Linked DNA regions of Mus musculus. The protein of the gene in region 1 interacts with the protein of each later gene in a pairwise test. Links are inferred from orthologs where the notes say so. Each region holds a gene or a part of one and is shown on either strand. Other genes may lie near its edges.

Region 1 (8,334 bases):
ACAAAAGAAAAAAAATCCAAAGATACTGTAAGCTTAAGAATGTCTCCTCCTCATTCTTAACACAAATTTATTTGTACACATTATCAACTGAGCTAGATTCTCTAAACAGAGACTTAAATGAGTATCTTTGTTTGCCAGGCCAGCCAAATGCCAAGAAACAGCTGCTTGAGGCCCTTCTTGGTACTTGGCGAACTGTAAGGTGCCTTCACTAATCTAGAAGCAGTTACATGCCACTATGTATCTACAGTAGGAACATGGAGACACAGCGGTTAGGAATCACACTGTGCTAAGAAACAGACTATGGATAAAAACATTTTCTAACCAAAGGTCAAATGCTTTGGACTCCACAAATCTGGCACCTGTAAGTGAGTGGTTTAGGACAGCCTCACACACATTTCCTAGGCACTTCAAGAAAGAAAAAGTCATGTGACGATGCAAGTCTTTGCTTTTGCTTGTGTTTAAAACCACTGAAACATGCCGAATATCGTGGAGGAAGGAGGGCTTGGCATCGGTTTGCTCCATGGAAAAATTTCGTTGTAATCACCCAAGGCAAAAGCTCACAATCAGTTTGGGTTTTGTTGCTTAGTCAGGGCCCAAATGTGCAGAACGGACAATACCTTTTCTCTGTGGCTTATGAGGCCAGCGTTTTTTGAATCTCAGATTTGCAAAGCAAGAGGACTAACATCCACAGATTTAAAATGGCTTGCCTGGGAACACACTATCAAAGAACTGGTTAGCACCTACAAAGCTGTGTACTAGCTGATTCTCAGATCAAACAAACCAACTGGCAACCAGCTGAGATACAGGTTTTAGTAGCAGATAGGAGAGCAAGCAGAGCAGTAGACAGTATATAAACAAGGCTTTTGGCACCATGAATGAAAACAGTCAATCCTTTTGCTTCAACTACATTCCATCAAGATCTTGGCTCTACACGTCAGCCTTCAAGTTGATTAATTCAGTTCCACTTGTTAGTGCAATTCTGCAGAGGTGAGCACGACTTAAGCATCAAGAAAGCAAGAGATCCATACTGCATTGCATCAAACCCCAGAAATGCAGAGCAATGCTGGGCAACTTACTTCTTATGCTCCCCACATACTATCTTGCTGGTACTTACCTTTCAACCTGCAAAATTCAGATGAAAAGGGTTTATAAGTGCAATATCTTAAGATTCAAGACAACAAAAGGTTATAAACCTTATATAATTAACTGGTCTCGTTTATAAAAGGGGCCTGCCTTGGATTTATGAGCTATAATCATTAGAAAAACCTTAAATTTCTACATCCCACTTTAAAAGTATCAGGACAATTTTAAGCAGTTGTTTTCTTTCTTTCTTTCTTCCTTTCTTTCTTTCTTTTTTTTTTTTTTGAAAAAGGCTCAATGTTAGCAAACATTGAAACACTACACATAAAACATACAAGAATGTTGTTTTGTGTGTGGGGGTATGTGTGTTCTGTTTTTCAAGACAGGGTTTTTTGTGTATCCCTGGCTGTCCTGGAACTCAGACCAGGCTCCTTCAGAGATGCTGGTCTCTGCCTCTCAAGATCAGAGGTGTGCAGCACCACACCCTACCAGAGTTTTGGTTTTAAAGAAAGATACTGAGTTCCATTTCATTCTCAGGGATTATGGTAGAGCTAAGTCAATGGGAAAGGAGATAAACCCAGGTGACAGCACTTGTCCAACTGGAAAACACCATTCACACTATATGTTTTCGGGTAATTTTTCTGAATATCTAAAGTAACTTACTCCCTTGGTTCTTAGGAACCAAGCAGCCATCAATTACAAATCAGCAAACATCACATGCAAACACCAGGATGGCAATAAGAGACCAATATACTCATGCCTTAAGGAGAAACAGAAAGGTAGAAAACAGTAAACATACAACACTTCTGATCATGTGGCCAGCAATCCCAACCAGACTGTCACCAACCTTTCTACTTAACAGAAAGGTCGTGTAGGCAGGGCTTCCCCTTCTGGGGATCATTCAACCTCTTGGACACCAATGTGTCTTCACTGCAAGCCAGGCAAAAACCCAAAAGGCAACACATTTTCTGCATGCTGGTCAAATACCTGAGCTCTGCGCTTACGAAACGATGACAACATGTTGAAGGAATGTGGACTCTAAAGAGGAAGGGGAAGAGCAAGACAACACACTTCTAAGGGCAACTGGGATAGAATCACTTTAAAGTGAAGAGAACAAATCTGTGAAAACACATGAAAACAGGTAAAAATCAAACGGCACTGCCCCAGCATCAGAATCCCACCAGAAATCTGAGCTGTAATCAGGGAGCCCAGGCTTCTGGGAATGGACAATCACCATCACCTAAATGTGCTGCCTTGGCCAATTCATGCTCTCTCTCAGACCCCAGTTTGCCCAAGAATTAATTTTTTTTTTTTCCGAGACAGGGTTTCTCTGTGTAGCCCTGGCTGTCCTGGAACTCACTCTGTAGACCAGGCTGACCTCGAAATCAGAAATACCCCTGCCTCTGCCTCCTGAGTGCTGGGATTAAAGGTGTGCGCCATTACGCCTGGCTCCAAGAATTAATTTTTAATACTGAATGTTCTTTTAAAAATAAATATGCCTCTTCTCATCTACATTCTGATGAAATAGGGATCTTGGGGGCTTTAGGCATTTGCATTGTCAAAGTAATTAAGTAAAAAGATAATTTCATGAAAGCCTAAGTGTAGTAAGGAATTCAAACAACAAAGATTGACCTTGGGGCTAGTTTGCTGGTGCAGTACCTTTACAAAATACAATTATTTCCTACTCAAAACAAGTGTAAGCAGCATGTGTAAGAGATGTGAAAGGTGCCACTCGCTGCACGGCTGTTCCAGCCAGATGGCTCTCTGGCCAGCTCTGCGGACCTCTGCATTCCTGGAATAAGCATTAGCCATCAGATCATGGCATTCCCCTGTAAGGCCACAGCTGACGAGCTGCAGCAGACCAAGAGGCATAGACTGGAGTTCTCCAATAGGCAGTGGGCACTGGTAACAAAGGCAGGCTGCCCTCAGAGCCTCTGTCCTTAGTGCACATTCCACAGACCAGACTCGGGTAGCTATTCCTAAGAGCCATTTCTCAGTATCTGTAGAGGCCCCACCTTTGAGATGAAAGCAGAGAAGAAAAAAATAATAGAAAATTATAATCCAGGGAACTAAAAGATACACTTAATATGACTCTCCCTGCTTAAACCTGTTCATTAGATTACTTGACATCAGATTTCTCCAAGTATTAGATTACTACAAAGCATACAGCCAAGGCTAAAGGCACTACCAGAGAATAAGCCGGCTGCAGCAGCTCCTGCCTGCCATAGGTCCAGCTACTTTGGAAGCTAAGGGTGGAGAAATAAGCTTGAGTCCAGGATCTGAGACATATAACAAGGCCTCCTTTCTTTTAAGAGGGGTAAAAGTCCAGGGTGGTGGCAGCCAGGCTTGTTGGCAGGAGCAATGAGTTCAAGACCAGCTATACCCAACTACATAGATTCAGGATGAGCTACGGGTCAAGATCTTGTCTCAAAAGTAGGGAATAGAATTGCATATCTATATGTCTCCAGGCCTTGGGTTTATCATAAGAACTGTTTCACATTTGTCTGGTATAGGGCAAACTTTGAAATCCATCCTTTTTATCTAGGTCCCTGGATAACAGTCAACACACTTTGAGGGTCCCTTTGAGGAATTAATGACCCAGTTACTAAAAAAGGCTTATTGTTAATTTCCTGCAGGGGATCTACTGCAGCACATTTTTTTTTTCCAACTTTGACTTCAATTTGACCTTTAAAATCTAAGACATTTAGTATGAGTGGGAACCTTGGCTCAATGGCTTCATGCAACTCACTGTTGCTAGTGCTATTCTTAAGCTCTTGTTTCCTGGCTACAAGACACCCCCACCCTGCCATCTTTGATACATTCTGTTTTACTTAAGTCCAATTGCTATGACAACGCAATTTCTGAACACATTATTAAAATACTTCATATGGTTGGTTTCTCTTGTATTCCTTGACAGTCATAATAATTAGCTTTTTGAAAATACCAAGGGTAAAGAACAAACGACTTAAAATGTTTTGGGTCTCTATATAGAAAAACCTGATTATCTGAGAGGCTGAGGCAGGAAAATCCTGAGTTTGAGGCCGGCCTGAGCTATTCAGCAAATTCCAGGCCAGCTGGAGTTACACTGTAAGAGCCTGTAGAGAGAGGGACAGAGACAGAAACAGAGAGATGAAAGTCAACAAAGCCCTATGAAGTGTAGCAGTTCGAAATGATTTCACCCTTTCTGGGACATTCATTTAAAACACACCGACCCTTACTTACATAGAAGCCCTCTTGATGTGTGTGTGTGTGTGTGTGTTTGTGTGTGTGCGCGCGCGTGTGTGCATATGTGTGTGTGTAATTCTAGTACCTGAGAGGATTTTAAAATCAAATTTTTCCTGGAGAAGCATTTCATCAAATTTGCAGGGATAGCTTCAGACAAAAGACTGTTCTATCACTTCACACTGGCACAGCAGTAGAATTTGACCAAAAAAAAACCCCCAAAAAACAAAAAACCCAGAAGCCTTCGACTTAATGTCTTATATAGAAAGAAAAGAGCTGTAAGCTATTAAGTTATTTATTGGATTTGGATCTCCTCCAACCAAGCGGCACCGCATCTAACTATTATACTGGAGCAGGTCGGCACTGGAGAGAAAAGACATTTATTACCAGGAAAGAAAAAGGAGGCCTTTCTGCGGCCGGAGGGCCCGGGACCGCCACACAGGATGAAATTAAGGTCAGCGAGCCCTTCACTGCAGACAGGAGGCTCCGAGAGGTGCGAGCGCCGCAGTTGCGGGCGACGGGCGGTGCGGGGGCGCTCGCGGGTGGGTGCTGCCGAGGACCACCCCCCGCCACCTGCCGCGACGGGTGGGGCCGCGGGCGCAGGAAGGGGCCTTCGCGTACCTTCGGCGGACCGTGACACTCCAGGTCGCCGCCCGGCTCTGCCGCGCCCCGCAGCCCACGCGCCACAAAAGGCGGCGGCGGGGGCCCACGGAGCCGCCCGCGAGGCTCCGCAGCTCATCTGTCCACATCGCTCCGGTGCTCGGCCTCCCGCGGCCTTTCCCTTCCCGCCCACCGCCCTTTCTTACCGGCTCCTGGGGGTGAGGGGCGTGGGTCGCCGCGCTGAGGGCTGCTGAGGAAAAAGATGCGCCGCCGCGGCCCCTGCCTCACGCCGTTCGCTCCGCAGCGGATAGTGACGGCGGCGCGCGCGCACTGTGGCTTTTATAAGCGGCCGCGCGCGCCCCCGCGGCGGCCGAGCGCGAGCGTGAGGGAAGTGCCCCGGTTGGCGACGCGAGAGGCGGGACTCGCTGCTCCACTGCAGTACGGAGAGGACCGAGCGCGTCCGGAAGGAGCCGAAGCTGCGGGGCGGGGTGGTGGGGGTTGGGGTAAAGGACGGGAACGCGCTTGCGAGGGGTGCGGGGCGCGGCACAGAGCGGAGCAGCCGCCGCAGCCGCCCGCCGCGGCGTGGGACCCGAGCAATCCTGCCCCGCCCAGTCCGCCCTGCAGAGAATCTGTGCCGCACCCCTCCGCCCTGGGAGCCCTTCCGAGACTGCGGCGAAGGGCAGGGCGGGGCCCGCCGCCGCAGTCAGGCTGGGGATGTTGCTGCCCTGGCCGGAAAGACGCCCTGTCCCTTTCGGATGATCTCACTGGAATGTTGGCTCCCTCTTTGCACTTTTTCTGGGGGAGGCTTGGCTCTGGAAGACCCAAGTCTGCCTGTTCTGGTGGGGGATGGGGCCAAAAAAAAAAAAAAAAGATGATATAAGGATCCGTGTTTGAGGAGGTGGTAGGGAAAAAAATCCCGGTTAGGGAAAAAAAAAAAAAAAAAAAAGACTGATTTGTGGCGTAAGACTTTATTTCAGGATATGGAGAATTCTTCAGCAATCTTCCTGTTGCCAGTAGACAGAGTGTATTCGTCCCAGTTGATAAACGACATTACTATTTCTTTCCCCAGTATTAATTGAACTTTGCTGTTTAGCTGACACCGCACGTGCTTTGGGCTTTTAATCTCTGCTCTTATTTTACAAGGTAGATGTTGCCTTTCCCATTTTACAAATTAGCATCCTGATGACATAGAAGGTAGCTCTCTCCCCAGGTCAAGCACGAAGCAGCAATCAGAGAACCTAAGATTTGAACACAAGCGTTAAGCAAGTGGGTGCTAGACTTCTGAGAAAAGGAAAACACAATTTCTGTAATTTTTTTCTTATACACAACCCTTTTCAGGGCCTGGCTCTGAACTAAACTCTGTAGCCAGGCTCCCCTACTGCAAAAGCTCTTTCCCTTCCTCCATTTTGGGTGACAGCTGTGTGGCAACCATTGGAGTAGCACCCAGCTCATTCCTGTGTAGTCAGGCAGCTCTGCCAGGCATCAGCCTCCTGGTTACCAAGCCACCCTCCTATTTAAATAATTATAAAGAACTGGGCATTGCTCCAGAACTGGGATGAGGCCCAGTCCCAAGCTTCCTGGTCCTCTGCACTTTGGTTTCTGCTGAGCCTAGGATCTGCAAGGTGACTTCTAAGCTACTCTGACTGTAGGCATGATGGTGAAAGAACATTCCTAGTCATTTTCCTTGGAGAGGAGAGATTTAAAAAATAAAAAAAATAAAATAAAAAGGGAGTGGCCACAGCTCAGCGGCAGCTTCACAGACTCCTGAGATCCAAAAGGCAGGTGCTTGGAGGACAGCATTTAATGCCATCTTCTTTACAGAGAAAACTGGTTGAGGAGCTACTTCCTGGACTGGGCTTTTTTTCCTTTTCTTTTTTGTTTTTCCAGACAGGATTTCCCTTTGTAGTTTTGGCTGTCGTGAAACTTGCTCTGTAGACCAGGCAGGCCTCAAACACAGAGATCCCCCTGCCTCTTTCTCCTGAGTGGTGGGATGAAAGGCATGCAGAAATGCTGTGCATTTCTGAAAACAGCTGATGGTGACCATAGTAACCACCTCTTCAGTCAGCTGCAGCAAATTTAAAACTCAGATGTTCAGCACTGGGTACAAAATGGCTAGTATAACTTAACTCTCCACAATGTCTAAGACCTGATACTTCGGTGGCAAGGGCTCTCTGGGCTGGGCTCCATACTGAAAATAGGGGTTCTACTGTTTCTCCCAAATGCCAAACAAATCCAAGACCTAAAGGGAGCTCTCTTCTGACTGGGAAACTAAAATCCTGCTGGTTGGTCCATTTTCTGATCGGAAGAATGGTCAGGATAACGGCACCCACAGGCACCCACCCTGTTCTCATCTGGCAGGAGAAATGAGCCATCAAAAAGCCATTGCTCATGGTTTCTATTGTTGCTCCCCTCCCTCCCACCAATTTCAGCGCATGCCTCACACTATTATGTGTGGGCATGGGGAAGGGATATTGCAGATAATAACCTTGTTTTTAATGAGAACTTCACAGGGACAAAATAAAGCAAGCACAGCCCAGTGTGACAGCGCGGTTCCGCTCCACGTTCTTGGCCACACCTCTACTGGCCTCCTTACAAGCAGAGAATCCAAGAGAATTCTAAGCTTCTCTTGATTACTGCAGCCCCTAGACTTAAAACTCTAGCTAGCCCTGGTCCCCTGTTCTAAAGGTCAGTTGTTGGTTGGGGAAATATGCTAATTGTTACCTGTCCACTTCTCTACCGCTATCCTGCACTCTCTCTACAAAGTCAAGTGCTTGTATTATTTTTTCCTCCCTGTAAAGCTGATTGGGAAGGATCATGCCCAGAAAATTACTTTCCCCAGAGCTGCAGGAGCAGAGCTGGCAAGCCAGTCACACAACTCTTCCAAACATAGTGACTATGTAAAACCTGAGGGCATTATGCTAAGTGAAACGAGCCAGACAGAAGGACCAATATTAAATGATTCTGCATACCTTACAATCTGCAACTGCTGGGTCTCAGAGATAACAGTACTGGATGGGGGAAAGGGGGAAAGGACCAGTTTCCATTTTGGAGGAGAAAGTTCCGGCAGTCTGGGTTGGGCACTTCTGAACACATTCTACCATGTAGACTATTTCCTAAAACATTTACTACATTTATTCATGTGTGTTATATGAAGGTCAGAGGGCAACATGCACAAGTTGGTTCTCCTTGTGGATTCTGGGGTTCAAACGCAGGTCATCAGGCTTGGTGGCATGTACCCTTCTTAACCCAGAGCCATCCTGGAGTACTGGGATTAACGGCATGTAATTTTTTTGTTTAAGATAAGGTGCCAGCTGTGGCCTAGTCTATCCTGGAGTTCATGGCAATCCTCCTGCTTCAGCTGCTTCAGTGTTATGATTGCAGGAGGTGGTACCACCATACCCAGATTTTCCTGCTAAGCTTTTCATTATCTAG
Region 2 (8,339 bases), on another chromosome or scaffold:
AAGAATATTTGGGGAAGATACGCACTAAACTACACTTGCTGGGCAAAACTGTGCCGTCACCCCACCTCCCACACTAGTCCAGCACTGCTACCTGCTTCTCCTGCCAAGTTTGCAAGAAGAGAATAACTCCAAACACACAACTATTCTAGTGAGGACACCAGGGGCATGTACTGGCTTATTTAATAACTATGGCTAACCAGCCGAAGGTATCGAGAAGAAAACTACACATAAATGAGGAACATGAATGCAAAATTTTAAACCAGTATACTGGCAAACAGGGCATTTATAAAACGTACCATTTTGTTTCATCAAGTTACATTATAACTGGTAACAACACACAGACCAAAGGAAGAAACTTTTAAAGAAAACAGCAAGGCTTATAAAAGCAGAAAATAAACATGTTTATGGGCATAATCATCATTAATAAAAATGCAAGTTCCCTACAACTTAAAAGATAGCTTAAAAACAATCCCAATCAAAACACAACAGAATCTGGAACTTAAGAAGTTGATTCTAAAATTAAGATGAAAGAGTAAAGAACAAAGTAAAACAAAATGAGATTTAAGAAAAAAAATCGTGAAATACAAACATGTGCTCATTCATTCACACACAGACAGACAGACAGATACAAATACACAACACTCTCTAAGACACAAGTGAATCAAAACCTTTACAAAATAATGCAGTAAAAACCATAAAGCATCAAAGTAATTTTATTTAATGATAATTAAATTTCATTAAGAGTAACCACAAAAAGTGTAAAGATAAGCCACAAAACAGAAAGTATACAACCACATAATAGAAATATCTATGCAGCTAATAGATCTATCTTATAATACCTACCCAGATAATCATAATTAAGAACAACTATACAAATCTGGGTAATGACCATCAATCCAATAGGAAACCATACATTACTCAAGTAAACGGCCAGTCACTTCACAGAGGACACTCAACCCCATCATTAATCAGGAAAGTGCATTTCAAAACCACAGGCAGATACTATGTCACGCTGCCATCCTGACAACTAGTCTGTCAGAAGCAACTGTTGATTAGGGTGTAGAGAACACAAGGTAACCAACCACACTGCTGTGGGAATGAAAAGCATCCCTTTTAAAAATAACTGCATATTAGAGCAGAATCCACATCCAAGAATCTGCCTTAAAATAATTTTGGTGTGTAAGCACAAGACAAGCACAAACACATTCACAGACGAGTTGTTTAAACAGCAAAGCTCAGGCACAAACCTACTGCTCACCCTGGTGGGGTGGGTATGGGGACCATGGGACACTCACAGCGGAGCTTGCCATGGCAGTGACTATGATGGTGTTAGAGCCTTGTGTAAGAACAGATTCAACTCATGGCCAGCTGTGCTAGCAGACTGCGTAGGCGGGTGGAGCAATATAAACTCCAGGCCAGCTGGAAATACAGAGTGAAATCATGTCTCAAAAACAAAACAATAAAAACTCCAGAATAAAACGAAATTCTCATGAATCTACTGCTGAATGGGAAGGGTCACAAGGAATTTTAATTCAATTTATTAAACGTTTAAAGACAAGTAAATGGAAATTACACATGGGGAATGTGGTAAGATGCAGGATCCCAGACACTGACCACTGGAGAGCAGAAAGGAATGGGGTAAAGAAGAGCTGTTGTCACCCTACACTGCGCACCCGGAGTCCTCCTTTTCCCTTGTCAGCCACCTTAGACATACACTATAAAAATTCTCTTACAGCATCCAGCAATCAATATTAACAATTAAAATTAACTTATCAGCCCAATAACTCTCCCAGTTATAGAAACAATGAGAGTATGACCTAAGGAAGGTATCAAGTACATATTTTTGCTTAATAACCACCTACCTGTGGCACACAGAAAACAGTTCTTCTTCTTCTTGCCAGCTTTGCAGACATTCACGATGCTCAGCAGGCGTTCATCATTTGGTGTGAAGATATCTCTCTGCAGCGCATGCTTGATTGCTGTCATCTTTTCTCAGCTGAAAAACATTTAGAATAATTCTCAAAACCACTGCCCTCCCTCATAAAGTGTTCCATTTATGACTTGAACGATACATTCTTAATACATAAATATATTAATCATCTACAACATAAAAGCATGGGGCTTCAAGTTTGGAAATAAAATCAGAGAAACCAGTATATATATATATACACACACACACACACACACACACACAAGATACTACCCATATATACAAATATGCAAGCACACACACACAAGTACAAATAACCAATAAATATACTAAAAATTATTCATTACAGAGCTGAGGAAACAGCTCTGTTGGTAAAGTGTTTCCTAGTACGTGGAGGACACAAGTCCAATCTTGTTTAATTTCTAGAGCTCACATAGCAAGCAGTGGGGAAGCAGAGACAGGCAGATCCCTGGAGTTCACTGACCAGACAGCTTCACCCATTGGTGGAATGCCAATCTGGTGAGACACCATGTCCAAGAAAAGGGGTATGAATGGTACACTGAAGAACACCATGTGCAGTTGCCCTTGGGTTTTTGCAAAGATGCATACCAGAAACCCCAAATATTCCATACCATTATCCACCTGGGAAATGCGACTGAAATCCACAGTGAGATAGCTACTGCTTTCAACTGTTGGGAGAGCTAAAATCCCAATGGACACACAGCAGCACTGATGAAGGAAACTCCCACACAGCTGGGAGGATCACAAATGGTTCGGAGGCTTTAGAAAACAGTCCGGCACTTTCTTCTACAAGTCAAGCATGCAACTACCATTATGAGCCAGCCCCCATCATACACTAACTTTAAAAATGCCCTTCAGCTAGATCTTTTTGGAGGCATCTTCTCAACTGAGGTTCCCTTTCAGATGACTCTAGCTTGTGCCACAATGACCTAAAACTAGCCAGCACGCCTGTATTACTCAGGGGTTCTCTTCCTGCACAAACATCAGACAAAGAAGCAAGTTGGGGAGGAAAGGGTTTATTCAGCTTATACTTCCAAATTGCTGTTGATCACGAAAGGAAGTCAGGACTGGAACTCAAGCAAGTCCGGAAGCAGGAGCTGATGCAGAGGCCATGGAGGGATGTTACTTACTGGCTTGCTTAGCTTACCTTCTTATAGAACCCAAGACTACCAGCCCAGGGATGGCACCACCCACAATGGGCCCTCCCATCCTTGATCACTAATTGAGAAAATGCCTTACAGCTGGATCTCACGGAGGCATTTCCCCAACTGAAGCTCCTTTCTCTGTGATAACTCCAGCCTGTGTCAAGATGACACCCAAACCCAGCCAGTACAATGCCCCTTAATATGTCCTAGGGCCCGGATGTGACATTAAAGCTCTACTCCATCTTACGCTATGGAAACTGTCTCTGGGCTTTGTTCACTGTTTCCCTTTTTCTCAAATTCTTGTCACTGCAAATTCCAACTTGCCCTCAAGGATTCTGATAACACACTGCCTCTTCTTTGAAGCCTTCTCTCCTAGAAAAACTCCTCTTCTGTCCCCATCTTACCTCTGCTGACTACAGCTCTTCCAACCTGTGTTTTATAGCTAGCGCCGTCTAGCCTCTACTACTCCGAAAAGTAGTTCTCTGTTGGCAAGAACCTTATCTTATCCATCTTTATATTCCTAGCATTTGCCGAGAGGCACACAGTGCACACTCAGTAAACATTTTAGGGAATACTGTCCCACTCAATAACAGACCAGGGATCGCTCCCTCAGAGTTACCTCTTTCCAACTTTCGCATCTGTAAGAGAATACCCAGATTCAAACTCTACTGTAATTGATTGCTTCCTCCATGCCAACGTGAAATCTGTGAGCATATCCTGTAACTTCTTCATCTACATATCCTATCCCTCTCCCCCACAACTTGCTGCCAACACAGCCACCAAGACTTACTGCCTTTAAGTAATAGCACCCGTTATCTCTTTCTTTTTTCTTTAGGCTTCTACAAGTTCCCTGAAAAACTAGTAAATAACTTTAAAGCAGTTCTCATTCTACCACACACCTGGTCAACAGCAACCCAGCTTTCTCAAGACATGCCTTGCACTCAGAACACTCTGTTCTTTCTTTGCTTAAGCACTTTCCCATGCAGGGCATACCACTATCTTTTCCTTATTCAAACCTACATTTCTCCATTTGTATTTAGTTGACTCAATGAAAGTCTCAATCCACACGGCTCTTTTCATGTAAATGTATAGAGCCCTTACTGTATTTACGAGGCAAATGCTTGCTATCTAATGGGGACATGAGTGTCATCTCCTAGATCTCCACAGCCATCTCTTGAGTAGTAGGAGGAGGAGGGGTGCTCTATCACAGGTTTGTGTGTTGGGTACTCACTAACAAGCTCTTGGCGTAACCTGCTTGATTGCAATAGTAAAAGCTGGCCAAAAGAACCATTAGCAATGGCCAATATTCACCATAGTACATGGTAAACGGTAAAAACAGCAGAGGGCTGGTCATAACTCATGAAGGAATTAGACATAAGCATTGCTACTATATTGCTATATTATATTGCTAATATAAATATTGCTATTCACTAAGTGCCAGGCAGCACTCTGGGGTATAATGGAGAATCTTTAAGACATGAACGGGTTGACGTAGCATTGTGATAGTCAGTCTTCTTTGGATCTAGAGATGAATTCTCCAGTGTTTATACTGAACTTTACATTATGCCAGTATTATTAATAGTGGCCTTCACAACTATTTCCCAGGTCTAAAAACCACGCCCATATTCTGGGTTCTCTTTAGATCTTCGCCTTCTAAAACCTCAAGGCTGCCCGTTACAGAGGCAGCTAACCTCGGTTCATTGTGTACATACATACTTCCTTCAGCTTAATAGGGCCATCGTTACACTGTGTGTCCATGCTAGTGCCTTAGTGGGTTGGGCCCATGTACTGCAGTGACATCTCAACTCGGAGACATGTCATCCAGAAAAAAAAACTGTTCAGAGGCTGGGCAATGCACTTAGAAGATTTATAAGGACATGTTATATTGATTCGGACCAGCAGAAGCCCAGGTCACGTCTTTCTCTTCCAGGCCACGCTAGTAGGACAAAAATGAAATCTGTCCCGGATGGGCGGAACTGTGGACAGAGACTTGGCTGCCTCCCGGCTCCGCCTTTTCCCAGAGCCCCGGACAGCACCGGCTAAGGAAGGACGCAGCCCGGGTTCTGCAGCCCCGAAGTGGAGCAGGGTGGGTGGGCCGGGTCACTGGGGAGTGGCCGACCCGGCGCGGATGCAACACTGCCTCCACTTAGGCTACCACCTCCAAGACCGCAGGTCCCCGGCCGGAAGCTTACCGCGAGGCCAGCCGGCCGGCCGAGGTTGGTGCTCCAAGACGGACTCAGGAAGGGCGCCGGCAGCAATAGCAGCTTTGAAGCACTTTTCATTGAACAGGGAAAAGCAGCGGCCAGAACCCGCCACTTCCCGTATCCGGTCACGTGTCTCTCTGCACCGGAAGTTGACCCTGTGGAGCCGGAAATGGAGACAGTAGAGGAAAAACAGATTGGCCAATGGACTTGGAGGAGGCGGAACAGCGCTTTGATGGATGGGGCAGAGGCGGACTGTGGGCGTGGAAAAGACAGGGGCGGGGCTTGCAAGCACATAGGCCAGTGATTCTCAACCTGCGGGTCAAACGACCCCTTCCTTCATAGTGGTCATATAGCAGATATCCAATATATCAGATATTTGCATTACAATTGATAACAGTAGCAAAATTACAGTTTTAAAGTAGAAATTAAATAATTTAATAGTTGGGACCCACTGCAACATGAGGAAAGGTATTAAAAGGTTGCAGCATTAGGAATGTTGAGAACTGTTAGCATAGGCTGATTTGAGGAGTTGATAATGGTGATGTTTCCTTTTTGTAGACGTACCCATTCTAATATTTGTAGCAACTCATTTGAGAGCGCATTAAATGTTCTCTCCTGTGCATATGTAAAACCCTGCTAACTAGATTCTTGGAAGAACTTTAGTGAGTTAAGTCAGATTCTCTGGGATAGATGTCACTAGTACCCTTAAGTTCTGGACACTTAATTCCCATAAACAGCTTTGGTCATTTACCCACTTCATACTCTACCCTGACTGCACAGACCTTCTTCTTGGGTGTTTTTTTAGAAACTTCACCCATGCCACCTCACATCAGATACTGAAATAGAATCTTTGTTTTAAAGGTGATGCTTGCTTGTTTCAGTGTGAGAAACATAAATGATGCCGAGAGTTCGAGCTATAAGACAAGTGATTCATTTAGGCCGCATCCCTGGCAGGGATTGAGTGCTGCAAATTTTGATTTCCAGGTTAAAAAATAAAAATTAAAAAAAGCCATTCAATTTTTTTATACTGAAGGAGTTCGCAATGAGGTAGGACTAGAAAAGGTGATTGCGAAGTTAGGATAACATACTCTACCAGGATGGTTTTCTTTCTTCTTTTTTTCTTTGCTGTTTTTTTTCCATTTATTTATTTACTTTGCATGTGGATCTTAGCCTACCCCTCCTTCCAATTCTCACCCTCCTTCCCAGCCTCTCCCTCATTCTCTGCTTCCCTTCTCTTCTGAGAAGGGGTGGGGTGGAGACCTTCTTGGATACCAACCCACCCTGTGACATCAAGTCACTGCAGGACTAGGCACATAGGATGAATTTTTTGTTGTTGTTGTTGTTTTGTTTTTCGAGACAGGGTTTCTCTGTGTAGCCCTGGCTGTCCTGGAGCTCACTTTGTAGACCAAGCTGGCCTCGAACTCAGAAATCCACCTGCCTCTTCCTCCCAAGTGCTGGGATTAAAGGTGTGCACCACCACCGCTCGGCATGAATTTCTTAAGAATATGACAGATGAGCTGTGCACAGTATTTGCACCGTTTATCTTAAGATAAAATTTTGGGAGACCTAGGAGAAATAATGAATAGGGACATGTTTGTTGCTACAATGATCAGCTTCTAGTCGGGGTTACTTGAGATGACTCTCACAGGATCTAGTTCTATATATTTGGATAGACTTCCCTGGTGTTTCCTCCTGAGCTCCAGAATGTTTGCCTTGGACATCTTAGCTGACAATTCCATTTGGGTGTTTTTGTTGTCATTTGGTCTTCCATTTTGTTCTTCCCCCCAACCCCCTGTACCTATGTTACAGCTCTCCTCACAGTTGAGAAGTGAGTGGTATTCCAGAAGGCTAGACTCTTCTGAACTCCTGAACTCCAGATTTTTGTATCCACTTCTCTGCCTCTGATATTTCTGTTTGGATAACTGAACAGCAATAATAATAATGATTATATAATATTTATATTAAATTATATTATATCTATACTCATCTGCTCATGCCCTCAGTTGGGTTTTAAATCTCTACACACATCACTTCAAAATGATGCCCAGACATGATGGCGATGGGCTAAACCTCTCAACCTGTAAGCAAGTTCCAGCTAAATGTCTTCCTTTATGAGAGTTGCTGTGGTCACGGTGTCTCTTCCCAGCAATGGGACACTGAGTGATCCAGGAGTGTCCGTGGATTCTGTAGTTCTGCCTTCAGCCTGAGGGTGCTGAGAAAGGATTTGTAGATTGGAGTAATGATGATTGGTGATGCTATAGTGTTGATGATTGTGGATATTGGCTGAATTAATGAGAGATAAAAACATCTTACTTCAGGCCACTTCTTCCTTTATATAAAATTGAATAATAAAGTGTGTTGATACAAGCTCTGCTGAAAGGAAAGATTCCCTGGGTATACTGAGTATTCCTAAGAGCTATCCCCAAGTGAGAGTGACATGCACTAGGAATTCAATGTTACTGACCAGTTAGTGTGATGTGTCAACCTATCTATGAGGCAGATCAAATCCTTCATTATGTATTTGGTAGACATAAAGAACTCCTATGTGGCTAGGGAAGTGAGTTGCAGAAGAGATACCAAAATGATGTCTTGAAAGTAAATGATGGGGGGGGAGTCTGAACTATCCATTCTTGAAATTATGTGTGTTTCCTGAACCTGGTCGACTTTTCTATTCCATTTTCATACTTCAACAGGTTGTTTCTAAAACTGCACCGGGGAACTGGTGGAACTAATAATATATCCACCTCATGAGAGATGACCCTTGTTTTCCCAGTAGAGAATTGTTCCCTGCTTCAGAAAGCATGTCTTGCAGAGCAGTGAGGACCTGTGTGACAACTCTTACTGTGGTTTTCTGGAGATTTCACAAGGTGCTTCTAGCCATCATAGATCCCAAGCCTTCAGATCTGTTGGGGCAAAAGGTTGGGTAGTAGGGCAACTTGTATGAGATCCCTTCTGGGCAACATACTTTGCATTAAGTTCATTCTGTCATTATTCTGGGAAAGAATCCAGTCACTCTTCTTTATTCTTGACAGAGTGAGT
Region 3 (7,558 bases), on another chromosome or scaffold:
AATATACAGTACATATATATGTATGAAACTGACAAGTAAATGTTTAAAATGTACAGAATTTAACAAAGAAAAATATACACAAAATTGATAAAATAAGGTAATGTCTATCTTACCTTAAGACATGAAATTTTTCCTAGATTAGATATACAGAAAATCATCAACTACAAGTTATCAACTTCTATAACTACTGTGAAAGTCTGGTATTTAAATTCAAAATCATGCATTAGGTCTCAGAAAAACATGTGTTACTCAAACACTGGGGTCAATGGCAAAGTCTATGTCTAATTTATGTAGTCTCTAAGACTTTCATTCTTTTCACAGCTAAAAATTAAAATTTGTTTGTTTGTTTGGGGTTTTTGTTTGTTTCTTTATCTAGTTTTCTGTTTCTCAGGAGAGAACTAACAGAAAGATAAGAGGTAGAAAGGGGCAAGAGCCTTTGAGGAAGACAGCTCAGTCTATAACATACCTGCAGCAGGAGCAGAAGGACTTAGTCTAGATTCCTAGCCCCCACATAAAATTCATCCTGGAAGGTTGCATACATCTATAATCCCAGCATGGGGAGAGGGACAGCAGATAAAGGTTGATTCTGCAGTTCAATGGCCAGCTAAGCTAGTCAGCCAATGAATACTGAGTTCAGTTAGAGCTGCTGAGGCAGGTGAGTGTGTGGGGAGAGAGCAATAAGCAGCTACTTAATATCTACTTCTGGGCTCTACATACACATACATGTGTGCACCATACACACACATGCACAGGAACTAGCAATAATCTCAAAGTAGTGAAAAACACAAATTAAGCCAAGTATGGTAACAGATGTCTCTAATCTCAATATTTAGAATTCAAAAGACCAGAGGATTATGAGTTTAAGGCCAACCTGGGCTATAAAACAAGACTAATCCTCTAAATAAAGCCTCTAAAAAAATTAATTTATTTTTGGTATTTTGAGACAGTCTCATCTAACCCAGGCTGGCTCTGATCTCCTGTCTACACCTCCCAAAGCTAGGATTAGAGTACACCAGCACACTGGGGACAGGACCCCTTAAAAAAAGGCTCTAGAGTACCAACAGCCAATGAGGACATTAACTACTTCATAGCACAAAGGAAGCCAATAAGGAAATTACAGGTAATATAATGTCTTTTTTAATAAGCAATATAATTGTTTAGAAATCATCATGAGCATATTTCACAAGTTCCCCACATGCACAGTATCCTTTGATCATCCATCCCTATCATCCTCTCATATCCCTCCTCCTCCCACTGAGTTCCAGCAAACTCTTCCACTGACCACCCAACACATTTCCCTCACTGAGCACCTCCTGCCCAGCTCTGAGCCCAGGCTCTGACGGAGGCTCTCACCTTCTTTATCTCTGTCCGGTACTCATTGTTATGCCCTTCCATCCTCTTCAGCTCTTCGTATTTTTCCATTAGTTCTTGGCTCAGCTGTTTGCATGTTGCACTCACAGATTCTAAACTGTATGGCAGAAATACAACCATATATAAGTAAAATTCCTGAAACCCATAAGATGGATTATCTAAGTGTACCCTCTTGATGCCCAAGATACCTCCTACTAACACCTTAAACCTCATACCCGTCACGAGAAGTCATTTGCAATTCCCCTATCACTAGATGCAGCAAACCCATCTCAACACTGAGGTAGTTTTGTCTTTCGTGTTTTCCTCCACTCCCGCCCCCTGATTTAAACTTTACTGGCTACAGAATTATAAAGACACCAGCCACTTTACTAACAGTTTTGCTCTAGCTGTATGGGTTTCTCTAGCTCTATGAGAGAGGGAAAGCCACCAAGAACTGTCACAACAGACTCACACTTCATCACCCTTAGCAACACACAGACACACTCCACACTATACAGAACCACACTATACAGAACCGCAAGAACTCTTTGAAGAGTCCCCAACTCATTGTTCTTACTCAAGACCAATCTTTCTGAGACTTAGCGCCACGGAGGCAGCATGCCTCTCACTCCAGTGCTCTGCCTCTTTGTAGCAATGCAATCGTCCCTTCACCACAAAGCACCTCCTCCCCTAGCCCATGATGGCCATTAGCTTCTCAGGAACCAAACTGGCACTGGCCTAATTACAGTCACTCCAGTCCTTACTCCCCTGTTCACCTTAAATAATTCAATTTTTACAACTTGAAGGCAAATTTTTCTAGAAATTATCTACTTTAAATATGCTCATTTAATTCCCCAAGTCCTTTAAAATGAGTATTTTATCTCTGAAACTGAAAACTCTATGGTTAAAATATTTTACTTCTTATGCCTGCCAAACTTAGCCATTAGCCCTCACGTGCTACAGCATACACCTCTAAATTATTCTACAAATGCTTAGTACTATATTATTTCACAAACATAGCAAATTTGCCAGATAAGTTATTATTCAAAAATATCATCTTTGGGAGCTGAAGAGATGGCTCAGCAGTGAAGAGCACTGGTTTCTCCTCCAGAGGACCCAGCTTCAATTCCCAGCACCCACATGGCAGCTCATAACTGTCTATAATTCCAGTTCCAGGGTTTCTGATACCCTCACACAGATATACATGGAGGCAAAACACCAATGCACATGAAACAAAAATAAAATAAAATAGAGATATCATCTTTGTAGTATAACAAAAGCCCTGCCCTTCCTGGTTTAGGTGCTGTTCAAACTAAACACCACACTGTTTAGAACAGTCTTTTTGTCCACTAGATTTTTCAAAGAAAAAAACTGAAGCCATTCTTACTGAATACTGTTATTTATTCATTCTAATTTTATTTCCAGAAATTCTAGAATTTTTATTTATCTATTTACTACTAGTATATGGTTACAATGTGCTAAACACTGAGACTAGCAGAGGAGTAAGATCAGAGATCACATTGTCCTAGCCATGCATGGGAAAAGCAGGACCTGAGGGGCTAAGGTGGTCAGTGCAGTGCTGTGCAGTGCTGTGCTGGAGTCAAACCAGAGGCGCAACTTCTGAGCCTGACAAGAAGTCCATGAAGATTATCAGAAAACCAACTGGAGGTCGGGGGAGGGGGAGATGACAACTATGATTAAAAACAAATTTTTTTGTTCCAATATCAAAAGACTAATAATCTTTATTTAGCACTCATGGTGGGTGGAGTACACCTTTAATCCCAGCATTTGGGAGGCAAAGGCAGGCCAATCTCTAAGTTCGAGACCACCATGGTCTACATAAAGCAGTTCTAGGACAGCTAAGGCTACACAGAAAAAAAACTGTCTCAAAAAAACAAATGATATCAATACTAGTAATAGTAGTAATAATAGTAAGTTTTGTTTGGCTCAGTCTAAATAAAGCACATATACACACACACCTCAGTAGAGATCACAAGTGCCCCACACACTCTAAAAGGCCTACAGCAGAGGGCTGCACGAAACACAGCACACTGAGGAGCAATGTATCAAGACAAGCTAGAAAGTGTAAAGTGGCACTTCTTCTTGTTATGTTTGCCTAAAGGCAAAGAGCTTATGTAAATATTTTATCTTTTACCCACACCAAAAAAATTAGTATACAAGCAATTATAATGAGTTTAAAACAAAATATCAAACTCTTCCCAATAAAAAAGTTTACAAATGTGACAAGCAAAATAAAGTTTGTAACTATGGCAAAAAATAAAATAAAACAAAAAGCACTACCTATCACACTATGCCATGCTATGCATGCTATGCTAGAATATACTATGCTACCAAATACTATAGATTTGCCATTAGCTAGCATTCAATTCAAAGCCAAGAAAATCTAAATCACACCATAAACAAGAATGAAGGAAGAAAGACATGCCCACTGTATCTTCTCCAAGAACAGTTTCAGTGAGGGAATACAGAAGAAAGCTGAACTGAATGGGGCCTAAAAGGCAAAGGGTGAAGTGGGAATTATCAGAATACACAAGTCTTCAAAAATTTGATTCTAGGGCTGGTGAGATGGCTCAGTGGTTAAGAGCACGGTCTGCTCTTCCAAAGGTCAGCAGTACGATTCCCAGCAACCACATGGTGGCTCACAACCACCTCTAATGGGATCCGATTCAATGCACACACTTCTGGTGTGTGTCTGAAGACAGCTACAGTGTATTCATATAAAAAAAGATAAATAAATAATTTTTTTAAAAAAAGATTTTGACTCTGAAGAACAGAGAAAGAGGAAATATTCTGATGGTTTAAAGGGGTTTAATTGTTTTCAAAATGGAAAAAGCTCCCAGAATACTTTCTGTCCATATAAACCATTCTGAAGAAAGCCCTAAAGAGGACGTCACAGCAGGAGCAAGTCAGCCTCAGACACGTCCACAGAGCACAGGCTCAGATGAAGGCCAACTGGCAGAAGGTTAGGACAGTGTCTTCTGTATTTTCAATGAACTAGGGAGTGAGGCCATTTGTGAATGCTAGAGAAAAAACAACTTCATTTCACCAATGCACTGTTTTACTCAATCAATGTGAGAATCAAAGTTCATCCTAACAACTTCAAATTTTCAATGTGTAGCTAATTATCTACCTGCCTTCAAGACGCGTCACCTCTGCCTGCAGGAGTTCTTCACTGCTGTGGCTGAAGTCCAGCTGGGAGAGCACATTATCCAAGACTCCTTGCCCTGGAGAGCTGTACTTCCTTTCCTTCTGACAGTCCTCCAGAGGCCTAAGAACAGAAGGAGGGGGAAACAGGTCTCTCTCTTATCCTGGCAAACAAACAATGCCAGCCAGGCTGTTGTCCCAACTATTCTTTTAACTAAGCTCCTTAGAACTGGTCAGTTTGTAGCCTGCTTTGGGGAGGAGGGGGAATACCTGGAGAACAATCCAGGGTCAGCAGCAATTTAATCTTTACTAGGGTTTGGGGTGTGTTTCAAGGGGAAAAGCCGCATAAAACAGCAAAACCATTTTGTTAACACTTGAATCCTTCTATCAGAAAAACTTTACAAGACAGTCTGGCAAGAACAGAAGCATGCCTGACTTACACAAAAGGAAGCTCATTTACTCTATTATTTTTTACTATAACCCTGCCCTAGCAATAGCCCAGGGCGGGAGATTTATAGCTTAGTTGGTAGAGAATTCCCAGGGCATACAGGAAGCCCTGAGACTGGGTGGGGTCACAACACTGATAATCCCAGCACTTAGGAGGCAAAGGTAGGAGGATCAGGAGGAGTTCAAGGTCATCCTCAACTGCACAGTAATTTTGAAGGTAGCCTGGGGTAATGCATAAAATCCTATTTCAAAACATAGTAGTAGTAGTAATAATAATACAATAATAATGATAACAATAAAGTCAGTTCCCAAAGGGCTAGCTAAGTGACAGGCTGTTACTGATGGCAAGCAACTACTTTCCACCATACCTTAGTCTTCTAAGGCAGAGAGGCCCTCCAAGTCTAACAAAGAGAGATAAGGAGTTTCCAACCTTATGATCCTCAGAATCTTAGAGACTTAAATGAAAAGGAGACAAAACCATCCATACAAATTTTAAGACAATAAAAATCTAACTCATAAATTAAAGTCAAATAAGACAAGATGATCAAACACAGAAATGAAAATATTCGATATTAAAATCAGCATTCAATGCCAAACTGTCAAACAGGCCAGCAGACTAACATTTACGGTTCAAACAGACCTTTCTACGGACTGCTGAGTGCCAACTGCCTTTAATGTCGTTTGCAGTTTCTCCTGCATTTTTGCCTCAAGGATGAAGGTTTCTTGAGATTGAAGACTTGCCTTCAACTCTTTCTGTTCTTCCTGCAGAGCCTGCAAAACACTCAAGAAAAAAGACAGATATTATTACAACTTTCCTTTAGCTCTCTCTTTTTCCTGCAGAGACTGCAAAATACTCCAGAAAAAAAGTCAAATAATATTTCAATGCTTCTACTTCATGAGAAAAGCAACCAGGAAGGCTGACTGCAAGTTTTATGACAAGGACAGTATGAATACAGCTATCAGGAGCTGAGCCACCAGCCTCAGCCCAAGAAGGAAGCTGGGCATCCAGGACCTAGTCCTAGGGCATGCATATACCTCCCTAAGTTACTCATTCTAACACACACCTCTAGTAACTTCTCAGATTCCCTTAGTTTCTCCTCCTTCTGCCGATGGTCCTGCAGGATAGTCATATTGGTTCCCATCAGGTCGTTGACCCTTATGTTAAGGCGCTCTATTTCCAGCTCATTGGCACAGATGGTGTCCTTAGCCCGCTCAAGCTTACTGTTCAGGTGTTGAATTTCTGACTGGCTAGATAGTTCCACGGACTCTAATTTCTGTTTCCGGTTGGCAAGCTGAGCCTAAAAACATATAGGGAAAAGAGAGTTGATAGAAGAATAATCAATAATTGTATTCACTGAGGAAAGAAAAGATTCACTCCTAGGAAGGCTGGGCTATCAGCAGGTTTTGGACATTTTCTTTTAGTGGCATATCCTACTGAAGTCTATTCAAATAAAGCCACTTCAGCAACTGGCTCAGGACCCGTGGAGTACAGTGTCTAACCTTTTGGCTCTGCATGCCAGCTGAAGTGTTTTTGGCTTCTCACATTCTGTTTTTTTCAAGTTTTAATTCAGTATCCAGACTGGTTTTTTATCTATACATTAAAAATGGACATAAATCATTTGTAAAGTTAAACTTCCCTTATTTTAAACATTTCCTAAAGGAAAGGCACCCACTTGTATTTTAGAAATTCAAGCAGAAATATCTCTGTGGAATCCATCTACTACAGATTTAAAGATTCTGCTGTACATAACTGAGGACCAAACTCTTTTGCCTTACAATATGGTGACACAAAGATGAAAAAAAAAAAAAAAAAAAAAAAAACGGAAACAAAAAGGGAGAGGCAAAGATACAGACAAATAATTTTGTGTAAATTAGAGCTCAAGGCCTCAGAGTAGAGGCAATTTGTTTTCCACCAGATCCCTAGAATGGCACGTGAAAGAAGATTCAGGACAGGGTCAACGCTAACCACTATGCATGCAATTGGCAGAAGACTTTCAAAAACAAGAGGAAATCTTATACAGAATCCTCTGCACAATAAGTAAATGTAGAGATTGGTTGAAGGTAGGAGGAGAAAATGGCTGTGCTCCGTTGCTGAGCCTCAGCTCACCCCATCCCTCACCTGCCCACCAGCCCTGGAGCTCACAGAGCACAGCTGGGAAAAGCTGTCCAAATGAGTGGCCAGGAGGCACATAGCCCAAAACCTCAGCACTGTGACACTGTATAACACTGTGGTCTGCATTCAATGCTGGAGCTTTAGCTGTGTCAGCAACTCTGTAACCAGGTAGTCTCCATTTGTTACTTTAGAATCAGTCTCGGTCCTCTTTTATTCTACTATTTCACTCATGCAAAAACACAGTATCTTCATTAACTAGAAATGATAGCCCACCATTGCAGACACTAGCAAGAGTTTATCGAAAGGACCCAGATGTAGCTGTCTTTTGTGAGACTAGGCCGGGGCCTAGCAAACACAGAAGTGGATGCTCACAGTCAGCTATTGGATGGATCACAGGGCCCCCAATGGAGGAACTAGAGAAAGTACCCAAGGAGCTAAAGGGAACTGCAACCCTATAGGTGGAACAACAATATGAACTAACCA
Region 4 (7,558 bases), on another chromosome or scaffold:
CTGTGGCTCCTGATGGCCTTCCCCAGCTTTCTGTAGTAGCAGGTTAGCTGAGGGTGTAGGGAGTCTAGGTCAGCATGAAGACTGAGAAGACCAAGTAAATGACAGCAGCACACTGTGAGCATATCTGCTCTCAGAGCGTCTTAACAGGAAAAGAAACAACCATAGTAACCAAGCCAGGCCAGAAGCTGAGCAGACCTTGCATCATCAGCCAGTGTGGACCAGGCATTCCGGGTCTTAGTCATAAGGTGGGACAAAGCCTCAGACAAGGAGCAACACAAGGTTGCCAGAATAGGAACTTGGCCTCCAGAAGGAGGAAAGCAGTCTAGACCCAGGGTGAGTTCAGTTGTTCAAGCTTGAACCTAAAGCCTATGTAGTAGTGACCTGTGTGCTGCTGTAAGACAGCACCATAAGCAAAAGCAGCTCACTCACTTTGGCTCCCATAGAGCTTGTCATGGTGGGAAGGGGTGGAGGCAGGAGCAGAGCACCCCCATAACACACTTCCTGCAGCAAGGTCACGCCTCCTAAACCTCCCCCAACACCACCTCTAACTGGTGACCAGGTGTTCACGTAGCCAGAGCTGTGGAGGACATTTCTCATTTAAACCTCCACAGCCTTGGCCAGGCTAAGAGCAGAGTCCCAGAATGTTGGGCTGAGGCATTGTGAAACCTGCCTTCACCAGAATGAGCAAGGCAGAGGTCAAGCAACTCCTTTCTGCTATGCAGACACAAGTCTGCACCTGAATGCTCCGTCCAGGGATGGGGCAGCTTGGGGCACTATAGGTGGCACGTGAGTCCACCATCTCACTCTTCAAGCCAGTCTGACTGACACCATGCTGAAACTGGACTTGAGAATGAGACAGGTGCTGTGGCAGGGGCTTTGTCTTGCTCTGCTTCTTGCACCTTTGAGCAAGTTACCTAACTTCCTGGGCCTGGCTTCCTTGGTGGTCCCAAGTCCTTCCTCATGGGCACTCTCCTAGCTGTGTGAGAATTACAGTTGAAATCTAGGTTGAGTAAAAGTTGTCTGGGAATTGCTCTGATCAGGCTCCCATAGGAAATAACATTTTTTTTTTTTTTTTTTTTTTTTTTTGGTTTTTCGAGACAGGGTTTCTCTGTATAGCCCTGGCTGTCCTGGAACTCACTCTGTAGACCAGGCTGGCCTCGAACTCAGAAATCCGCCTGCCTCTGCCTCCCAAGTGCTGGGATTAAAGGCGTGCGCCACCACGCCCGGCTAGGAAATAACATTTTCTGTACAGAAGAAGAGGAAGACCACTAAGACCCTGGGCTTCTGGGAAGTGAGTGGCTAAAGAGACTACCTGCTGTCTGAGGTGTAGATTCACGCTCACTTCACCCAAAAGTGGAAACAAAGCTGTTTGCACAAGCCACTGGTTACACTTACAAAGGGACGATGCGCACTGGCCCTCGGGAATGATCAGCTCTTTCTTGGGTTGGAGCTGCAGCCTGGATTTCTCTTTAAATATGGGTCCCAGCACTAGCCCTCCTGAGAACAGGAGGTTCAGCAGTGGGACTCTATCCTTTCAGGTCCAAAGTGGGTATGGCCTAGGAGCTTTCATGGTGGCCCAGAACAAAGGGAGCCGTGCAGGGTTGCACTGCCTCTTCCCACAGCCCCAGACTCCCAGTGTGAGTAACAGGTCCAAGGAGGGTCCACCCCACACACGTGTAGTTCCTAGGTTCCATCTGGCCTTGATCGTCACCAGCTGAAGGTATTAGTCCTTCACTCATGATTCTTAACATACCAGGGTTGGGGTTGAGGAGACAGTGGCAAGTGGGCAGACACAGCAGGTGCTGTTTAAACAAAAGCAGAGTGGTGTGAGCAGAACTTAGTTTCCACTGTGCTTCAGAGGGAGAGCCACAGGAAACAGAGAGAGATAAAGGTGTGCAGGTGCTTCACGGGTGTGAGAGCCCACTGTTAGAGGCAGGCAGGATCTCTCCTCTGGGCTCTGGAGGGTGGAGAGGGTGCCATTACAGTTCTGTGTTGGGGCCCTTCTTCCCTCCTCTGACCTTTCCACTCTGCATCTCTTCCCTACAGGCCCCTCCACACAGCGTCAGGTGCAGAATGGCCCCTCTCCTGAGGAGATGGACATCCAGAGAAGGTAACCCCACGTCCCACAGATGTCTGACTGAAAGCTCCCCAGTAGAGCTGAGGCCACTAACAACAGGGGCAACAGAGGATGCCTGCACATGCCACTGCAGACTAAGGGGACAGGTCCATCGCCCACAGACTCATACTTCCCTAAACTCCTTCTGAAGCTTGCCTAGTAACCCTGTGGTTCCAGGGAGCCCTCTAAAGGACTAAAATGAGGCATAGCTTCCATTTCTCCTGCCACCACAGTGGCTCCAAACAGCCAGACAAGCCCATTGGCCCACTCACGCCACTGAGTGAATTCAGTTGGCCAGAGGGTCACACAGGTTTCTCTGAGGTATTTACTACTCAGTGTGTCCAGCTCATCAGTCCTCTTCCATCTGTCTCTGTCTCTGTTGGAGGCAGCCCAGGGCTACAGGAAGGTTAGCTCAGCCAGTGACGTGCTTGCAGGGCGCTGAGTAGAGCTCCAGCACTCTTTTGTTTTGTTTTGTTTTGTTTTCCTTAAAAAGTTAGATGTGGCATCAGCCACTTGAATACCAGAGTTTAGGAGGCAAAGGCAAACAGACAAACCCTGGTGTTCATTGGCCAGCCAGCCTTGCCTACTTGCTAAGTTCTAGATCAATTAGAGACCCTTTCTGAAAAGAAAAGGAAAGGAAAGGAAAGGAAAGGAAAGGAAAGGAAAGGAAAGGAAAGGAAAGGAAAGGAAAGGAAAGGAAAGAAAGCCGGGCATGGTGGCGCACGCCTTTAATCCCAGTACTTAGGAGGCAGAGGCAGGCGGATTTCTGAGTTCGAGGCCAGCCTGGTCTACAGAGTGAGTTCCAGGACAGCCAGGGCTACACAGAGAAACCCTGTCTCGAAAAACCAAAAAAAAAAAAAAAAAAAAAAAAAAAGAAAAGAAAAGAGAAGAAAGTGGGTGGTGCCTATGACAGCACTCAGGGTAATCCTTTTTCCTCCACACAAACAAAGCCCAGTGTTATGGGTATGAGAAGTACCACAGCAGCAGCTTTTAAATGTGGGAGCGTGGGCACAGAGAGCTCAAGGTGTCTGCTGTGATTGCTTTCCAGACAAGTAATGGAGCAGCAGCACCGCCAGGAGTCTCTGGAGAGGAGAATCTCGGCCACAGGTAGGGGAGACTCCCTCCTCCAGCCCTGTCCGAGGCCCTGACCCCCCAGTGCATCCTCATGGCAAACCACCTTACCTGCTTTTCCAACACCCTGTCCTCTCAGCTGCTGCAGCACCTCCCTCCCCTCCGCTGCCCAGGCCTCTGAACATGGCTTGAGCAAGTCTAGTTCTACCAGCATGTCTCCCTCCCATACGTCCCATCCTCTTGGCTCAGCACTACTTCCTTCACTGTCCTGACATCACCTCTCCTGTGTGTTCCCAGCTCTGTAGGGCAGTCATCCAAGAGCTTCAGCTCCGACAGGCTTCCTGTGCATACTTCTAGTAGAGCGAGCCTTGCAGCACAAGTCTGTGTTCTCCTCTGTGATTTGTTGGCTGACCTTACTAGACCAAAAGCACCCTGAGGGTCTACTCCCCTCAGTGTATGGCACAGTGTCTGATTCACTGGAGGTGCCTGACTAGGTGCATAGTGGAGGCCAGCCCTCGGTGGTTCCTTGACCCAAATTCCTGGTCATCTCTGGACCCACAGTTCCTTACCTCTTAGAGACCCTAGGATCCAAGTACAAGTCCCACTTACATCTTGAGACCAACTTCAGTCAGTACCTAAGATGCAGCCAAGTACTTATAATGGAAACCGGCACTGCCAGGAACTCCTCACACACACTGGAGAGGCAGGAGCAGAGCAAGAGGAGCTCTGCTGTGCTCAAGGGTGTTAAGTGACTATATGCCAGTGTAGCCAGCACCCAATGCTGGGAGATTGGAATAGGAAGGGATTGTAATGGGGCTGGGTTCTGTAGGGCCTTCCTGAGACAAACTCTTCTGCACCTCATCTCTGATGAGCAAGCTGCCCTCCAATCTTTTGAAGGACCCAGAATAAAAACAGTAGCTGGACACCCCTAGGTGTTGGAGACTGACTCCTCCCCTTTGCTTTTCAGGGCCCATTCTCCCCCCTGGGCATCCCTCATCGGCAGCCAGCACCACTCTCTCCTGTAGTGGACCTCCACCCCCGCCTCCACCCCCAGTTCCACCTCCACCCACAGGGTCTACTCCCCCACCCCCACCCCCACTGCCAGCTGGAGGAGCCCAGGGGACCAACCATGATGAGAGCTCTGCATCAGGACTGGCTGCTGCTCTGGCGGGAGCCAAGCTAAGGAGGGTGCAGCGGGTAAGAGTTCCTGTCAGGGTAGGCAGGCCAGCCACCCTTTACGTATCACTCTCATCTCTCACCCTGTCCTCACCTGTTCATCAGTGAGACACTGAGCAAAACTCTCTTCCCCTGGATCAGCTCCCAGCTGCCTTAGTTAATAAGTACTGAATCTGCCCTTGCTTTTCCCGTGGAATGTGCTTCCAGTTGATTCAGCTCCCCACCCCGGGTGCACATGCTCCTGGAAAGATCTGCAGATAATATAAGTCTGCTCATAAAAGAATGCTCTGATGCATATCTCTGGCTTGAAAGTTGCTTCCCTCCTCCCTGTAACTAACTGGCTTTGGCAAGGACTCATGCCTGTGGGCCTACCAAGCCTGTCCCTGAGCCTCCCTAGATTCTGGTTTTCCGTGGACTTGAGAGTGTTAAACTAGCAGCCTCACTCCTAGGATCTTTCTGGGTCAGCATCTGACACACACTTCTTCCTTACCCTCAGCCAGAAGATGCATCTGGAGGCTCCAGTCCTAGTGGGACTTCAAAGTCCGATGCCAACCGGGCAAGCAGTGGGGGAGGTGGAGGAGGCCTCATGGAAGAAATGAACAAGCTGCTGGCTAAGAGGTGAGTACAGTGCCTCCTAGAGGAAGCCACTGTCCTCAGCTGAATGTCATTGCTAAGACACATTTAGGGGGCCTAGAACAGCACCCGCTGCACTTGAGAGACAAGCAAGGGGCTGGAGAGATGGCTCAGCAGTTAAGAGCACTGACTGCTCTTCCAGAAGTCCAAGTTCAATTCCCAGCAACCACATGGTGGCTCACGACCATCTGTAATGAGATCTGATGCCCTCTAATAATGTGTCTAAAGACAGCGACAGTGTACTCACATACATGAAATAAATAAATTACAAAAAAAAAAAAATTAAAAAAAAAGAAGAAAAAGAAACTGAGAGACAAACAAATACAACACAGTCCCAGAGTTTTAGAGCACTGCCTACAGACACCCCACTGCCCCCAACACTGCTTCTGTAGGCAGCGTTAGCCTTCCCAGACCTCCTAAACAGTCTAGGCAGACATGAAGCAGCCTTCACAGAACAGTATGTTAAGGCCTGCAAGAGGAAGAGACGGGTCTCACAGAAGAGGCTCTACCTGTCCTCTGCTTAAAGAAGTGCAGTTCCATGGGCTGAGGGTGGCAGAGGTGCCAGCCGGGCAGTGTTCAAGCACAGGCTGAGAAGCCGGCACATGGAAGAGTGGAGGAGGCCAGCTGGAGAGGAGGCTGAAAGAGTGCCTCACTGCCCAGCTGGATCTCAGAGCTGAATAGGGCTTCAGATAACAGGAGAAAACATTTTAGAAAAGAAAATGTTTGTACCCTCCTTCAATCTAAGACCAGTGAGCTTAACAACTTGGCTTGGATGATGTATCCCAAAACACAGGATCTCTAAAAACAGGAAAAGGTTAGAGTTGCCAGGAGCCAAGCAGACGCCAGGTGCTGGGGGGGTCGGAGGTGGGGTCCAGGCACTAAAAAAGCAAATGTGCCTTGCACAGTCTGCAAGGAACAACCAAGCAAGTCTTTGAAATCTGCTTCATGAGATTAGCAGTCCTGCAGCTTTTTCTCCTGCTTCTCTTCTAGCAGGGCTCCACCTACAGTGGAGAAGTCACAGGTGAGCACCTCCTGAGGGCTGCTGTGCTGGCACAGGCACATACGTGCCTCTCAGGAGGCACTCACCAGTGTAGACTGCAGTGGCTTGGTCTGTATTGTCTGTGTGATGGAACACATGCCCGATCACATGTTAGGCAAATGACTACCTCTGAGTAGTCCGCACAGGCGTCCCTCTGATTTTAAGAGATGGAATGTGGCTTCTGGGCATCAGTGGGCATCATGGGGTAAAGCGACTAGGCAGACCAGTGAAGAAACCTTTGTCACCCAGGAAGAGGTGATGACAGCTGCCGTGGAATAGGCAAAGGTTAAGCTAGGCCAGAGTGGGAAGAAATAGAGAGAGAGAATTGATGAACTTACTGGTCCTAGTCTGTGGGAGGAATAATTTGTCAGAGGCCAGTTTCCACAGGTCAGGGGAAACTGAGGCAGGTGTAGAATCAGTGATTGATCATTCAGCAGACTTTTCTCTGAGGGCGGAAACTTGATTTACTGGAGCCAGTGAGAAACTCTTTGGAGCTGGCAAAAAAAGGAGGAGAAGATTCACACACACACATACACAGACACACATATACACACATACACACACACATAAACACACACTCACACAGACACACATATACACACATACACACACACATAAACACATACAGACACACATACACAGAAATACAAACACATAAACACACACACATACACAGAGATACAAACACACAGACACCACACACATACATATACACACACACACACATATATATATGTATATGTATACATATATATATAACAACTATTTTTTCTTCCACAATTTATATATCCTAACAAAATCTTTCAAATGGTACAAAATGAATCACAATGTGATTACCTTCTATTTTTCATTAAGTGATCCATTACAGTGAGTATTCATAGAAAAACATATTTACCAATACTCTCACATGAATAAACTTTTCTTAGAACAGGTTAAACAGTACAGGTTTAAAACAACAACAACAGATTATTCCCAAGAACCCACATGCATTCATAACTAAGCAACTTGTTATAGATTAACAAAATAAAAGCAAGCAAAATAATTTTCTCAGCCAGTTTCTCTTACTGGCAGGCTGCAATTTGCAGTTACAAAGAAAGAATTATTATTTATCTTTAAAAATAATGATAAAATCTTAAGAGAATCATAAATCTAAACTTTTATGTAAAAAACAGTCATTTTTATTTTAAGTCCCCAGGGTGCATCTACTCATTAACGATTTTTTTCATTAAGTAACATCAGGAAGCTAGGGCAAAGGTGAGTACAAGAAATTAGTCATCACCTTGCTCGCCAGCCCAGCCTCGGGAAGGAAGAGGTGCATCAGCTAGGACCAGTCAGGCTACCATTGTTTCTTGTTCCCTGTCCTCAAAAAAATTCCCTCACTCAACTATTAATAGTTTTACTTTCTGACCTTCAAATTGTTCCCCAAGGCCACTAACAATCTATATCTCTAAATTCCTTCTAAGGGTGGTGGTTGAATCGTTTATCTGCTCCAGTATCGATGCTTGACAAAGCTCCATTATTAT

What was found.
Region 2: the proteins of Sptan1 (region 1) and Exoc1 interact in a two-hybrid assay, tested with the Homo sapiens proteins (2 studies listed by BioGRID and IntAct). The link is inferred for Mus musculus from reciprocal best matches to the Homo sapiens genes SPTAN1 and EXOC1.
Region 3: the proteins of Sptan1 (region 1) and Cep63 interact in a two-hybrid assay, tested with the Homo sapiens proteins (2 studies listed by BioGRID and IntAct). The link is inferred for Mus musculus from reciprocal best matches to the Homo sapiens genes SPTAN1 and CEP63.
Region 4: the proteins of Sptan1 (region 1) and Evl interact in binary tests that used the Homo sapiens proteins (3 or more experiments, as listed by UniProt). The link is inferred for Mus musculus from reciprocal best matches to the Homo sapiens genes SPTAN1 and EVL.

Annotation. Positions count from the first base shown.
Region 1 is NC_000068.7:29,962,560-29,970,893, reverse strand, and holds the start of Sptan1 (spectrin alpha chain, non-erythrocytic 1), read right to left. Parts: upstream 5,335-8,334; 5' UTR 5,109-5,334; intron 2,119-5,108; exon of another isoform or gene 2,101-2,118; coding exon of another isoform or gene 2,068-2,100; intron 1-2,067. UniProt on the Homo sapiens protein: Fodrin, which seems to be involved in secretion, interacts with calmodulin in a calcium-dependent manner and is thus candidate for the calcium-dependent movement of the cytoskeleton at the membrane.
Region 2 is NC_000071.6:76,526,412-76,534,750, reverse strand, and holds the start of Exoc1 (exocyst complex component 1), read right to left. Parts: upstream 5,441-8,339; 5' UTR 5,289-5,440; intron 1,997-5,288; 5' UTR 1,987-1,996; coding exon 1,863-1,986; intron 1-1,862.
Region 3 is NC_000075.6:102,596,816-102,604,373, forward strand, and holds part of Cep63 (centrosomal protein of 63 kDa), read right to left. Parts: intron 6,261-7,558; coding exon 6,027-6,260; intron 5,744-6,026; exon of another isoform or gene 5,734-5,743; coding exon 5,603-5,733; intron 4,640-5,602; coding exon 4,502-4,639; intron 1,469-4,501; coding exon 1,354-1,468; intron 1-1,353. UniProt on the Homo sapiens protein: Required for normal spindle assembly.
Region 4 is NC_000078.6:108,671,243-108,678,800, forward strand, and holds part of Evl (ena/VASP-like protein), read left to right. Parts: intron 1-2,046; coding exon 2,047-2,110; intron 2,111-3,164; coding exon 3,165-3,223; intron 3,224-4,154; coding exon 4,155-4,384; intron 4,385-4,859; coding exon 4,860-4,981; intron 4,982-6,857; exon of another isoform or gene 6,858-7,558. UniProt on the Homo sapiens protein: Ena/VASP proteins are actin-associated proteins involved in a range of processes dependent on cytoskeleton remodeling and cell polarity such as axon guidance and lamellipodial and filopodial dynamics in migrating cells.